Caenorhabditis elegans: one gene and its partners. The protein of the gene in region 2 interacts with the protein of the main gene of each other region in a pairwise test. Each region holds a gene or a part of one and is shown on either strand. Other genes may lie near its edges.

Region 1 (3,452 bases), 2.9 Mb from region 2:
TTGCTAATTAGCCTCTTTTTGCTAATTAACGATGTTTTTTTGCTAGTTAGCAATGATTTTGAGCTATTTAGTTATGTTTACTAATTAGGAATGGTTTTGGACCAGGTTGCCGTGACTCGCTCTTGACTGAGTTGAGAAATTTTTGTTGAAAAACATTTCTATAATACAATACTTTATCAAAAGTTAAAAACACATTTTGTTATACGAAGCTCATGAAATAATTCAGACTTAACTTGAAGTCCTTTTAGTAAATTGATTTTTCGCCTTTTTTCTGGAGCATGTTTACATGGTATTCCCGTGGGGACCATTTAATCATATCCAAATATTACAAACAAGAATTTTTTCAGATATTGGATCAATTTATGTTCGAAAGCTACATTTTATTGGCAAAAAAATAAAAAACATTGCCAACATTCGGATTTGGTTCGGTGCCAGGAAGTGGGTTTGGCAAAGGAGACGTAAATTGTTTCATTTGGTTCTAAAACTTTTAGCTACGATTTGTTTCTATAACAACGTTCTCTATTTTTGTCAAAAAGCTTTTAATTAAAGAAAATAATTGTATCGCTAATATTTTTAGTTTGGAAGTACGAGAACTCATCACAGCAGTTGGACAGAATATTGGAATTGATCAGAATGTGATAGCAGACATAGATATTGATACATTGGTTAAAACAGCAATTCAAGTGAAATTGGGAAGACTTTCAAGAGTTCCTCAAACACATATGATTGTTGAGGGAATATGGCCTCCAGAACTTGTTCCTCTTTTTATGAAAGTGAGATATTTGAAACTTTATAGTATTCGAAGAAAATAATGTTTCAGGATGGTCAATTCCCACTTTTTGTCGATTCGGAAGATGATCTCACTGATATGAGGCCTAAGAAATTTTCAGTTCATTTTGAAGATGAACCAATGATGTCTGAAATAGAGGATACATCTGATTCTGAAACAGCTGCTGATAAATCACAAACCACATCGTCCCGATTGTCTCCAATTCCACGCCGAAGAGCAATGCAAGCCAAATTGAATGGTTCAACTGGTATGTTATCTAGAATTGAAGTGAATGGGAATTTTTAACGAAATCAATTTCAGACTCAGATCAAGCTTGCCACGACGGCGTTATGAATGTTTCAACAACTATCACCTCTGATCTTTCTACAGATGCATAGCATTTTGTTTTTTCTTCTTTTCTTAAATCTCAAATAAATACTTTTTAAAAATTTCTTTAAAAAAATAGACATAAACAAAACATATATAACTTTTCCCAGCTACATTATTACATTTTACAGCATTATTATTTTTGTGAAGTCGGTAGATCGAATATTTAAAATTGATAATACAATTTTATTATATAAAACTCAATTTTATTTACTATCTCTCGAAGAAACTGCGCCCGCAGAAGGAATTCAATTTCTTTAAAGTTTTCAAAAAGTTACGGTAAACTATTCCGTAAACACCGCGACATAAAAATGCACACTTTCTCTTTCCTAATTTTATATAAAATTTATAATTTTAGTTTTCTTCGAGAAAGAAACAAACAATCGTCACTTGCTTTTCGAAGAGTTGTTCATTCAACGACTTTCTTTTTTGTCTTCAAATATTTTTTGTTGCGATTTCTATTTCTTGTGAATCGTCTCAATGTATAGATGGATGATTGAAGCTTGAGTATTTAAATTATCCAGAATTGAAATGTTTTCACATACAGGTGTGCTTGATTGTTTTGTAGTTTGAGCATCAACCAAATTCGAAATATATTCAAATACAATTTTTCTGGCTAAAATTTTTCGATGACTACCAATAAGTAGCAGATTTTTATTGACGTTGAGAATTCATTCCAGTATCTTTTTCCTGTATTCTCAATCATTCTTCTTATTATTTTAGTTATAGTTTTTCTATTTTGCAGATATTCTGATAGAATTCCAACGAAACCATTGCTTTGTTTTTTCCGCGTGGTTTTTGTACACTTCTCTCGTTAGTGACCCTGTCACAACTAATTTTAATTCCAGTCAACTACAACACGATGGCTGACCAAAAGGAAGCATCCGAAGCAGCAAAGAACCGCGAAATCAAGATCTCGTCTTCGGATGATGAAATCTTCTTGGTAAGCTGAAATTCGTTTGTTATTGTCATTTTTATCTGAAAAACTAGGCTTCGGGTCGATAAGACGCTTTCGCAGTTCTTATAGAAAATGTTTAGTAGCCTAGTTGATTTTTAATAAATCAACAAAAAAAGCGGCACTGTACGCTAGATGGCATGGGAAAAATTGCAATCTGAACTTCCAGGTCCCACGCAATGTGATCCGTCTCTCAAACACTCTCAACACTCTTCTTGTGGACCTCGGGCTCGACGACGATGAAGGAACCAACGCTGAGCCAATTCCAGTGCAAAACGTCACTGCCTCGATTTTGAAGAAGGTTATCAACTGGTGCACCAAACACCAGTCCGACCCAATTCCAACTGAAGACAGTGAGAAGAAAACGGATGGTTCCATCCAAGACTGGGACAAAAAATTTCTCGATATTGACCAAGGAACCCTTTTCGAGCTCATTTTGGTAACTTGTTATTTTAGTTGCAATATTTTAAATTCCTATTTTCAGGCTGCCAACTATTTGGACATCAAAGGACTTCTTGATGTCGCCTGCCAGTCTGTCGCCAACATGATCAAGGGAAAATCTCCAGATGAAATTCGTCGTGCTTTCAACATCAAGGACGACTTCACTGCAGAGGAGAGAGAGCAAATCCGTAAGGAAAACGCCTGGTGCGATGATTAAATCTCCATCTTTTCCCCTGTTAAACTTTCAATTACCTTGTTTTCTAAATGTTTCACATCATCCACCATATCTTTCCCCTTATTAAACGCACTTTTTAATTGTTAACAAATTTCTTCACTGCCAGCTGACACAACTGTGTACAGTTCTGTTTTTCATTCAATAAAGTTGATGTGAACATGAAAATTGCAAACAATGCAATTGGTTTTAAAGCCACAGCAATAGTATTTTTTAGTCTGAACAGGACTATAGATCCTTCACTTTTGAAATGGAAGATGACGAGATGTGAAATTCTAGGCCAAAGTTGCTTCGTTTTCCGCGCGCGTAGATTTCGAAATAAATAAAAAAACAATACTTTTCTCAGTTTTAAAAGCTACGGATCGTGTGAATGAAAATTACTTTCTGTGATTAATTGCGAATGGGGTTATTCAAGTAATGTATTTACATGACTTTATCGCATATTGCGCCTGACGCTGCTAAATCCCCGCATTTAACTGAAAGTTGCGATATCTTTAAAACGAGATCTATTTTTTCCATTTCTTTCATTTTTTTTTTCCTGATATTCTCCTTTTTCTATCTATCAAAAATCGAGTGCCGATATTCGCTGAAAAGACTATATTATGTACGCCGTCCGCTCTCTTTTTAATTTTATATAATTAAAAAACATTATCTCTGAATATCTGCAA
Region 2 (7,842 bases):
AGAACCATTCGAAATATTCCACTGCTCACAAAAAATCCTTTTGATTCGAGAATAAAATAGATTGCAACTTCCAATAACATTGTTAGAATTTGCATTGATACTGTTAAAAGAGCAGCTTTTGGAGTATCAAAAAGCTCAAAACAGGCTGCTGGACGGTGATTTGAAACTGTTGAAATTTGCATTGATTGCCTTAATGAATTAATTATAGATATTCCTGGTTTCTTCTTTAGACGTTTTCGTAGAGCCATTTTTAGGAATAGAAATAGTAATAAGGAAAATAATGGAAAAAAAGGAAAAAAAGCTGCACAGAACATTTAATGGAAGGAAAACGCAGAGAAGGAAAGGCAAATGTCAAGAGCAGGGGGAAATATGAATTTGCAAAAAAAAGAGATTTCTTTGTTTTTCTTTTTTTGTTGTTTGTGGAGAAAATATAAAATATTGAATTATGAGATACGGTTTACTATATTGAATTTGCCAATTTCTAGAAAATAAACCATTTGGAATTTTGGCGTATTGTTTAACATCGGAAGTGTTTTATTCATGAAGACTCATAAATTGTACGGATTTGTTTTGATTTTAATATTTGTTCGGCTCAGGCATATTGAGAACAGATTCAAAATCCAGAGAGGCCAAGAAATGGGCGGAGTCTATTTTAAACTTTAAATCTACAGTCTGAATAAAGCTTCTGATACCAAAAGACGCAGACGTGAAATGAGAAAATCGATATGTGTCACGGAGAGAAATAACATAGTTTTGGGATTTATTCGGAAAAGAACGACTATCCAATAGTTCGTTGTCTGTGTCTCCACTGTTGACGTTATGCTTCAATTGTATGTACCTCTAACAGTGTCCATATACATTCTATAACTAAATACATAGTTCGTAATTTTAAAAATAACAATATTTATAACAAGGAAAAAACGTTATTTTTCGCAAAAAGGTTCATGATAGTTTTAAAAATTATCATTTTGAAATAACGACTTCTACCACCTTGGAACGTCCAAAAAAGTTGTTCTACAATTTTGACATCATCTAATCTGTTATAATTACTATGATTCCAGTGAGACAATAAATATTCTTAACCTGCCTATGCCTTTAATTGGAAACTAATTGAAACTTTTGAAAATCTGCCAAAAACTCTGTTTTGAATAACCGCCGAAATGAATTAATGCAAGCGCGCTCTTTCGTCACGCGGCAGAGAACGGAGACAGCAGAGAAACGCGGGTAGAATTGTTTTTTGAATGGACAAATTAGCGAGATTTCTTTCCATTTTCTTTTATTTTTCAAACTTATAATGCCTCCAAAAAGAAAACAGCTTCGACGAAACTCATCAAGTATCGATTCAAATAGTTTGCAACAGGTTTGTAGAAATTGGTAATTAATCAGAGCGAAAAAATACTTGTTTTCAGCAAAATCTGTTGCATGTCTGTGGATACTGCTCCAAACTGATGGGAAACGATGAAAAAGAACATTTGGAACATGCAATGAGCCATCAGGTAGGAATAAATATTTAAAATAATATTAATGAAAGACTTACTGTAGAACGAAGTAACCCAATGTCGTACCTGCTGTATTCCTGTAAATAAAGAAGAAACAGAAGATCATCTGAAACGAATTCATGGTAAGTAAACTTGGGATGAAGCAAAATTCGATATTTTAAATTTAAATTTCAGCCTGCAATTATCGTCACATCAAATTTTCCATTGACAACTCTTTAATCGAACTTCGGATCGCCGCTGGAAAATCATATTCAAACTTTTGGGGTATTCGCCTCTCTTCAACGGATTCCACACTAAACAGCTTCAGTTCAAACTCTGCAAGATGGTGGCAGAACTTTAAAAATGGGCGGTCTCTTGGGACATTCCGAATTCTAAATTCAAAATTTAGCTGGAAATGTCCAATGTGTGAAGGAAAATCAGCCGTTAATTTCAATGAGACAATCAGTATGCGGACATACGCCCTGACTCATTTAGAACATCATCATTTCGAAGAAGTTATGGTTAGTGTTCCTGGGTTTTTCGAATTTGAGTGGTATCATCTCAATGAAGAGACTGATTTCGATGTGAGAGCCTTAATGCATATACGACAACAAAGAATTATGTGCAAAGGGCGGAGCTATTTGACATTTTACACTATTAACTTGTCTAAAATGGAAAACGGTGAGAATTTCCTGACAAAGTTGAAGAAAAGAAGTGGAATGGAGAAGGAAGAAGTCAGATATTGTCTTGTTTGTTGCTGCTTGGTGTCTTCTGAAACAATTAAACAACACTTTCGATTATCAAGTCATAGTTGTCTAGATCCGTAAGTTAAATAAAAAACTATTGCGTAGTAAAACTTGAACAATTTTGATATATTCTGGAGCACCAAAATTACTGAATTCGTAGCACAACTCTGATTTTTTGATAAGGCCTGCCTGCATAACATTCGTTTTTTTCAATTATTATTTGTTCAGTATCGCATCGAGCTCATCCTTCACACATGTCCAACCTGACCCAAAAGAAGTTGCGAACGAAGCCGGTGAGAATGTGAATAACGCTGAAAATCCAGAAGAAGAAGAAGTATACACTTTTGAATTTCCCAAGGAATTGTTTCTATATTCTAATGTTTTCAAGGTACATTTTTTTTCAATTTCAAATTTAAATAATTTTTTCGATTTTTAGAACCTACGAAAAGATGAATTCAAGTGGCGTTGTTGTCTCTGTCCACGTGCCCATGCTCACATTTTCACGACTCAACTCATTATGAGAATGTATGCTCTTCGACATATTGATCAACATCACAAGTACCTTTTTACTGAAGAATTCATGAATTATGAATGGTTATCGGCGAAACATGAAATCAGAGCTTCATTCGATATTAGAACATTCACACCTCTTCAGTATACGATTAAGGGAGAATCAACGTTCAATGCAACGTAATTTTTTTCAAAATATGTTCTTATCAGAACAAAAACTTTCAGAGATCCAAATGATTATACTCTTCCACAGCAATACTTTTTTATTCCAAAAGATTTCATCAACGAGACAGTCATTTGTGGGTTCTGCTATCGATCATTTAATAAAATTGATTTTCTACTTCATATCGTTCTTCATGGATTTAGAGTCGTCACCAGGTTCTTTTTTAGAATATTCTACAAAATTTTTCGTGAAATTAAACCCTTCGAATTTCCAGAGAAACTGCAAAACTTCGTCCAGCGTCTTATACTGAAACCGCGAATGAATTGATGGGACAAAATAACTATTCGGATGGTGGACTTGATGATGAACCACACAATATTTTGTCTGTCGATGGGAAGCGGCTAAAATCAAAAATGGATTTATTAGCTAAAAGAAGTTACCTGAATGTTCCTCGATTCTCAGAAGTAACTACGCCTGGCAAAAGTGAAAGAGACACTGATGGAGAAATTTATACGGTAATTCAAAATACTTTTAAAATTAAAATTATAAATATCAAAATTTTCAGCCAAGTGGTCGAAGATCTGCTATGAATGCTCGAAAACTTCTCACTGAAACCTTCAAAGTTCTCCAAGATAACTTTCGAAATAGGAAAGACACGTGGAATGAATCATCGTGCTCTTCTTCGTCTTCGTCGGATGAATCAAACTCTGAAGACGATAGATTCGAACGGAATTTGTTATTAGAAGCTACTACAAAAGATGAGAGACGAGAAAGATCGAAAAGTACAGAACTTAAAGTGAAAGATTTATCAAAAATGAGGCCAGCTGAAGTTCGTGAATGGGTTAAAAGAGAAGCTGAAAAGCGAGGAGTTGACTGGAAAGATCAGTCATCATCATCAGAAGGAGAAGATATGGAATCGGAAACTACCACGGAACGAATAGCAGGAAATAATTGGAATAATATGAGATTAAAAGATATCAAAGAACTGTGAGTTTGTAAAAATTAAATTAAATTTTTCAATTTTCTTTTTTCAGTGTTCGCACAGCAGCAAAAAGGAAGAAGATTGATATTTCAAACGATTCCAGTAGTGATTCAGATGATTGTTAGATTACGTAGTAATTTATTCGTTGTTAATTTATTAAAATAGTTTCAAAAATAGTTTTTCGATACTCAAAAAATAAATGCTTTCAATTTTTAAAACTATTTTCAACTTTTTTTTTTGTTTCCAACTTCTGTTGTACAGCTCAGGTCTCAGATTATTTGTGATATATTTTCAAAATTTCCGCCAAGGTTTGCTGTAACAAACTGATCCGAAATAATTGCTTTTTCTGAATTTCAGATGGTGAGAAAACCTATCGAAATATTAGACTTGCCCCCAGAATTGTTAGAGAAGCTTATCGAGAAATGTGATTTAATTTCAAGGTATTATTCTCCTTAAATAATTTTAAAAAAATCAAAACTTTAGATGCAAACTTCGTGCAACCTCTTCTACTATGAATCATGCTGTTTCATCTACAAAACTCTTCATTCCATCGGTCTATATCAAGGATCTTCACAGTGTAGGAGTTCTCGTAAAACTTACATTTAAACTATTCAAAGATGTACATTCTCTCAAGTTTAAAATGACTCCCGAATGCGACACAAGAATCTCCCAATCTTCGAAAAATGATATTATAATTGAAGGATCTCGACCAATTGATGAGGCTATCGCATTCCTTAATCGAATGTGTTTTCAAAATAATGTTGTTATTGGATTCCTAACTGTAGAATTATCAGATAATTTCGAGGAATTGAATAATAAGTTTATGGAGACATTAGATAACATGGAAAGTTCTCTAAAAGTTCAATCCATTTTTTGGAGAAATCCGCGAAAATGTGACCTTCTCTGGAAAATGTTTGATAAATGTGATGGAAGTTTGCTGAATGGTTTGAAAATAGACGGACAAGCTCGTGATGATGACGATGATTTCGATTTTCTCGGGAAAAATGCGGCAATTGTGCAAAAAATGGACAAAATCGAGGTAAGATGAGTTATGAATATATGCGTTGCACTTTAGAAAACATATAACTTGTGACTAGAGAAATTATGTGTTTCAGATCTCTACTATCACCACAGCAACCTATGAAGACGTCATGGCACTAAAAGCGTCAGTGATCTCTCTCAAATCCAAGAAGTTTACTGGTGACCTTATTTGTGACGTCATCGAGAAGTTCGTGGCTACCAGATCAACTGGATCGAAACTTGACATCATGAACCCAAGTGGCCTAGATTTTGAAAATATTCCTGCAGGATTTACACAAGTTGAGCAGGACTCTGGCCAGTATGTCATAATTTGACAATTATTTTTTGAATATCTTAATTTCAGCAATGTATATCACAAGCAACTTCCAGATGATCAAAGACTTGTAGTTTTATGGAAAAGTGAGAATTGGATTAATTTAGAAATTGGAAAAACCGGAAATTATGATTTCTCGCCTAGTTTTGTAAGTTCAATATTCAGTTTTCATGTCTCCAAATAAATACGTTATTTTTCAGAAGAAAATTCTACTCGGTCTACCCCATTTCGCTGACGATTCTTCGGAGTACGATGACAATTATGATGATTATGATAACGATGAGGATAGCAATTTTGATCCCGATTATGACTACGAACGTTATGAAGATAATCTCGATGAATCTGACTATGAAGATACAGATTATGGGGAAAACGAAGAATTCTATTAATAATCAAATTGTAACGTTTCGTTTTTTCTCTCGTTCTCTTATAATTTTATATAACTAGACGTTCAATAGATACAAATTAGAATAAATTTTCAAACAACATTTTCCCTTAGAACACCAACATGAATCCATATTTATCAAATGAGAATATCGAATTAACCCTCGCAATAAGGAGGAGAGGTACATTTTCAGGCCTTCTGTTTAAATTCGGCGTCAATTAGCTTCGCGATGGTGCTCAATTGAATGTTGGAAGTTCCTTCGTAAATCGTTCCAATTTTACAGTCACGATAGTATTTCTCGACGGGGAATTCTTTGGTGATGCAAAGAGCTTCGCCATTGCTGCCTCACGAACAAATGGTAATCCGTGTTGCTTCATACGAGCAGCATTGTAAACCAACAGACGAGCAGCTTCGATTTCAGTTCTGACTTGAGCAATTTGATGTTGCATTCCCTAGAAGTCTATTGTATATATATATTTCTCTGTCATGTTTTATGTCTCACCTGGAAATCAATAATTCTCTGCCCAAACTGTTCTCTTTGTTGAAGATATGGAATTGTCTGATCAAAACATCCTTGAGCTAATCCAAGCATTTGAGCTCCAATTCCGATACGACCAGCATTCAAATATTCAATTGCGTACTTGTAACCTTTAAACATTGTGTACTTAAATTGGAATTATTAATTCTATAGTCAACCTTTTCCAAATTCTCCAAGAATTGCCGACTTGTGAACGCGTACATTATCAAAATGAAGTGGGCACGTAGAAGATGAACGAACTCCCAATTTGTCCTCCTGAACTTGATGATTATTACGTCCATTTTAAAGCGGAACCGCAAAACTCGATTTGTTGCGTTTTTGTACAAACTACTGTACCCCCGTTCTCGCCAGGAATAAAATAACTGGAATACAGTAACCCCATATGCCTGCTTCCATTGATTTCCTTTGAGTCCTTGATGTATTTCATGTTTTTCAATAATTTTTTCAGCAAAATAATGTCTTGGATAGAAGAGACGATGAAAAAACGATACAATGGGTTACTGTACTTCTTGGAGGCACTCATTTTGAGCGTCATTGACTTGATATTTTGTTCGTGGCGAGACTTTTTTGAGCGAAAAGTCACAATAAATAACTCTGGAAAATGGTTATAAAAGTTAACTTACATGCTTTCCAATGGTAAATCCTTTAGTACCCTTTTCAACAATGAAACATGTAATTCCTTTGTATCCTTTACTTGGATCCGCATTAGCAAACACCAAGAATGTTTCCGATTGCTCCGAATTTGAGATCCACATCTTTGATCCATTAATCACATAGTCATCTCCATCTTTCTTTGCAGTTGTTTTCAATGCAAATGCATCAGATCCAGATCCGGTCTCGGAAAGAGCAAATGATCCAACTGATGAAGTATAACATTTTGGAAGATATTTCTCTTTTTGTTTTTCTGTTCCAAGTTCAATAATTAAAGGAATAAAGAGTGTATTATGAACATCAACCATTGCTCCAACCGATGCATCAACTTTTGAAATTTCTTCAATTACGAGAGCAGCATCGAAAAACGTTGCTCCAGGGCCACCGTACTTTTCAGGAACTTCGATGCCCATCAGCTGAGGTTAACTTTAAACATTTTCAAAATACATTATTACCCAGTTGCTATACTATGTAGACGTCGCGCAAAAAAGTATGCGCCTTTAAGAAGTACAGTAATACATTTCTCAAAAATGGGTTACTGTACTAATTTGAAGGCGCATCGTTTTGCGCAGTTAATTAAAAAATACATTTGTTTCGTTGCGAGACCGTAAAGTGTCGCAACTGGATAATTACTTTCATATAATACCCCATTTTCAAAGCATCCATTGATCACAGCTGGAGTCATTTCCGAAGTTCGATCCATTTCACGAACCAGAGGTTTTATCACTGTATCCGCAAATTGACGAACTTAAATTGCACTATTTATTCTCTGAATCTTTTAATTCTTCAGTACAAACCAGTTTTAACGAATCCGGTTTCCTGCTCCGACAATACTTGCAATGGATGTGGAATATCATCCTCATTACGTGGTTTTGAAGATAACAATGATGACGTGCTAGAGATCAAGCGTCTGCATGAGCTCAAACGGAGTTGGTGGACGAGAAGAGACATTTGGAAGAATTCAAAAGAAGGAACTACATTTTTAAACATTGGAAAAAGGTTTGTGTGATCATGGAGGAGAATTATGGTCACGCT
Region 3 (3,362 bases), 2.9 Mb from region 2:
GGTAAGCTGAAATTCGTTTGTTATTGTCATTTTTATCTGAAAAACTAGGCTTCGGGTCGATAAGACGCTTTCGCAGTTCTTATAGAAAATGTTTAGTAGCCTAGTTGATTTTTAATAAATCAACAAAAAAAGCGGCACTGTACGCTAGATGGCATGGGAAAAATTGCAATCTGAACTTCCAGGTCCCACGCAATGTGATCCGTCTCTCAAACACTCTCAACACTCTTCTTGTGGACCTCGGGCTCGACGACGATGAAGGAACCAACGCTGAGCCAATTCCAGTGCAAAACGTCACTGCCTCGATTTTGAAGAAGGTTATCAACTGGTGCACCAAACACCAGTCCGACCCAATTCCAACTGAAGACAGTGAGAAGAAAACGGATGGTTCCATCCAAGACTGGGACAAAAAATTTCTCGATATTGACCAAGGAACCCTTTTCGAGCTCATTTTGGTAACTTGTTATTTTAGTTGCAATATTTTAAATTCCTATTTTCAGGCTGCCAACTATTTGGACATCAAAGGACTTCTTGATGTCGCCTGCCAGTCTGTCGCCAACATGATCAAGGGAAAATCTCCAGATGAAATTCGTCGTGCTTTCAACATCAAGGACGACTTCACTGCAGAGGAGAGAGAGCAAATCCGTAAGGAAAACGCCTGGTGCGATGATTAAATCTCCATCTTTTCCCCTGTTAAACTTTCAATTACCTTGTTTTCTAAATGTTTCACATCATCCACCATATCTTTCCCCTTATTAAACGCACTTTTTAATTGTTAACAAATTTCTTCACTGCCAGCTGACACAACTGTGTACAGTTCTGTTTTTCATTCAATAAAGTTGATGTGAACATGAAAATTGCAAACAATGCAATTGGTTTTAAAGCCACAGCAATAGTATTTTTTAGTCTGAACAGGACTATAGATCCTTCACTTTTGAAATGGAAGATGACGAGATGTGAAATTCTAGGCCAAAGTTGCTTCGTTTTCCGCGCGCGTAGATTTCGAAATAAATAAAAAAACAATACTTTTCTCAGTTTTAAAAGCTACGGATCGTGTGAATGAAAATTACTTTCTGTGATTAATTGCGAATGGGGTTATTCAAGTAATGTATTTACATGACTTTATCGCATATTGCGCCTGACGCTGCTAAATCCCCGCATTTAACTGAAAGTTGCGATATCTTTAAAACGAGATCTATTTTTTCCATTTCTTTCATTTTTTTTTTCCTGATATTCTCCTTTTTCTATCTATCAAAAATCGAGTGCCGATATTCGCTGAAAAGACTATATTATGTACGCCGTCCGCTCTCTTTTTAATTTTATATAATTAAAAAACATTATCTCTGAATATCTGCAACTCGAAATTTAGTAAATATACCGTTCCTCCATTATCTTTCTAGTATTTTTTTAAAGACTTTGTCCATCCAATAAATTGTCATATTTGTCAATTCGTTCCCGCATTGCGTTCTATAACGATCGATAACTCTGCGTCTCTTCCTTTGTGTGTACACTGTTTCCTCGCTTCTCTACACTGTTTCCTCGCTTCTCTCGCATCATACGACACACTCACATTCTATTCGCTCATTTCTCAACGTTCTCATTCTATTTTTCGTTGTTTTTCTTTGTTTTGCAGGTATTTTGCGTTGGAAAATTTAAAACTTTTAATTTTTCTCGATGGAAATACTCTTAATCGTTCTTTTTTTTTTCTACCTGTTCTTCTTTATTATTTGTATGTAATCGTTCTTTTCACAATAATTTCTCAATTTCAATCGATTTCAACGCGATGGCTGATCAAAAGAAAGTATCCGAGGCGGCAAAGGAACGCGAAATCAAGATATCGTCTTCGGATAACGAAATCTTCTTGGTAAGATTCAAATTATTCCTTCGTTTTCGTTATTTTTGTCTAAAAAAACTAAATCGATAAGCCGTGCTGCATGCATGCGCGCGTAGAGTTTTGCTTCTTGGTATCCTAGGTGATCTGACTTATAGAAAAATAGACAATGTTAAATGTTCCACTATATTTGAAAATTCACAAACTAAACTTCCAGGTCCCACGCAATGTGATCCGTCTCTCAAACACTATCAACACTCTCCTGATGGATCTTGGACTCGACGACGAAGAAGGAACCAACGCTGAGCCAATTCCAGTTCAAAACGTCACTGCCTCGATTCTGAAGAAGGTCATTAGTTGGTGCAACCATCATCACTCCGATCCTATCTCGACTGAAGATTCCGATAACCGCGAGAAAAGAACTGACGACATAGGCAGCTGGGACGTCGAGTTTCTTAAGGTTGACCAAGGAACCCTTTTCGAGCTCATCTTGGTAACTTGTTATTTTAGTTCCAATATTTGAAATTCATATTTTTAGGCTGCCAACTATTTGGACATCAAGGGACTTCTTGATGTTACCTGCAAGACTGTTGCTAACATGATCAAGGGAAAATCTCCAGAAGAGATTCGTCGCACTTTCAACATCAAGAACGACTTCACCCCGGAAGAGGAAGAGCAAATCCGCAAAGAGAATGCCTGGTGCGAGGATTAAATTACCCTTCAGTTTGCCTATTTCTCTATTACATTTCTAAACGACATGTCGCTTCCTTCCCCTTCACACTTCACACATTGTCCTGATATGGTCTCTGTCTATTTTTTACATCATCTCTGGCAGCCCAAAAACTTCTTCCTTTTTTCACCTAATTAAAATGCATCTTTTGAATTTTAACCGCCATTCTATATTTATACCTATAAATCACCGACCGGCAAAAATTATGCAGTGTGAGATTCTCACACATTTCCTCCAATGAACATCAGTGTGTCCTTTACGTGATTGTACATGCCTAAAAATAAAGTTGATGAGACGATACAAAAAACAAACGATTTATGTAAAACATTGAAAAAAATATAACCCGTGAATGTATTTAAATTCTGATATGAAAAGTTCTAATGAAGTCAGGTGATCGAGAGACAACGTGTTCAAATTCTGCGAAGTTTATACTCGAGTCTCCATCCAAATCAGCTTCTTCAATAATTCGTTCAATTATAAATTCAACTTCTACATCACTCAGCTCATCTCTTGTTAAACTTCGAATCATTTTACTCAAATCATCATGTCCAAGAAGTTCATCTCCATCGTAATCTAAAACAATATTTTGATACTAAATTAAATATTATTACGCAGACCTCTAAGGACCGCTATTGCAATATAATTTTATCAGATATAAATGCAAAATTTATGTCATGATTGTTAAAATAACAATATGATATAATACAATTTATTTACGCGAGTTACAGTAACCCGTTGCCGGAATGGCGAGACGTTGCGCGTAAATTGTGGTGAAAATTCGCAACTATGGACGTCTACGTAATA

The links. Proteins that work in one complex are often made in the same cells at the same time.
Region 1: the proteins of T10E9.1 (region 2) and skr-2 interact in a two-hybrid assay, tested with the Caenorhabditis elegans proteins (2 studies listed by BioGRID).
Region 3: the proteins of T10E9.1 (region 2) and skr-1 interact in a two-hybrid assay, tested with the Caenorhabditis elegans proteins (2 studies listed by BioGRID).

What each region holds. Positions count from the first base shown.
Region 1 is NC_003279.8:9,467,686-9,471,137, forward strand, and holds skr-2 (Skp1-related protein), read left to right. Parts: upstream 1-1,968; 5' UTR 1,969-2,018; coding exon 2,019-2,099; intron 2,100-2,280; coding exon 2,281-2,550; intron 2,551-2,595; coding exon 2,596-2,769; 3' UTR 2,770-2,952; downstream 2,953-3,452. Other genes in the region: twk-29 (Potassium channel domain-containing protein), read left to right, coding at 348-438, 578-773, 821-1,037, 1,091-1,167.
Region 2 is NC_003279.8:6,540,874-6,548,715, forward strand, and holds T10E9.1 (F-box domain-containing protein), read left to right. Parts: upstream 1-4,236; coding exon 4,237-4,319; intron 4,320-4,362; coding exon 4,363-4,918; intron 4,919-4,994; coding exon 4,995-5,218; intron 5,219-5,263; coding exon 5,264-5,381; intron 5,382-5,433; coding exon 5,434-5,622; 3' UTR 5,623-5,720; downstream 5,721-7,842. Other genes in the region: T10E9.8 (uncharacterized protein), read right to left, coding at 1-182; T10E9.2 (C2H2-type domain-containing protein), read left to right, coding at 1,295-1,360, 1,410-1,496, 1,543-1,621, 1,674-2,301, 2,453-2,612, 2,661-2,914, 2,960-3,112, 3,172-3,412 and 2 more; acdh-4 (Short/branched chain specific acyl-CoA dehydrogenase, mitochondrial), read right to left, coding at 5,855-6,070, 6,121-6,266, 6,315-6,411, 6,780-7,223, 7,454-7,554, 7,605-7,758.
Region 3 is NC_003279.8:9,469,784-9,473,145, forward strand, and holds skr-1 (Skp1-related protein), read left to right. Parts: upstream 1-1,766; 5' UTR 1,767-1,780; coding exon 1,781-1,861; intron 1,862-2,045; coding exon 2,046-2,321; intron 2,322-2,366; coding exon 2,367-2,540; 3' UTR 2,541-2,862; downstream 2,863-3,362. Other genes in the region: skr-2 (Skp1-related protein), read left to right, coding at 1-1, 183-452, 498-671; calm-1 (EF-hand domain-containing protein), read right to left, coding at 2,914-3,131. UniProt on the Caenorhabditis elegans protein: Probable essential component of SCF (SKP1-CUL1-F-box protein) E3 ubiquitin-protein ligase complexes, which mediate the ubiquitination and subsequent proteasomal degradation of target proteins.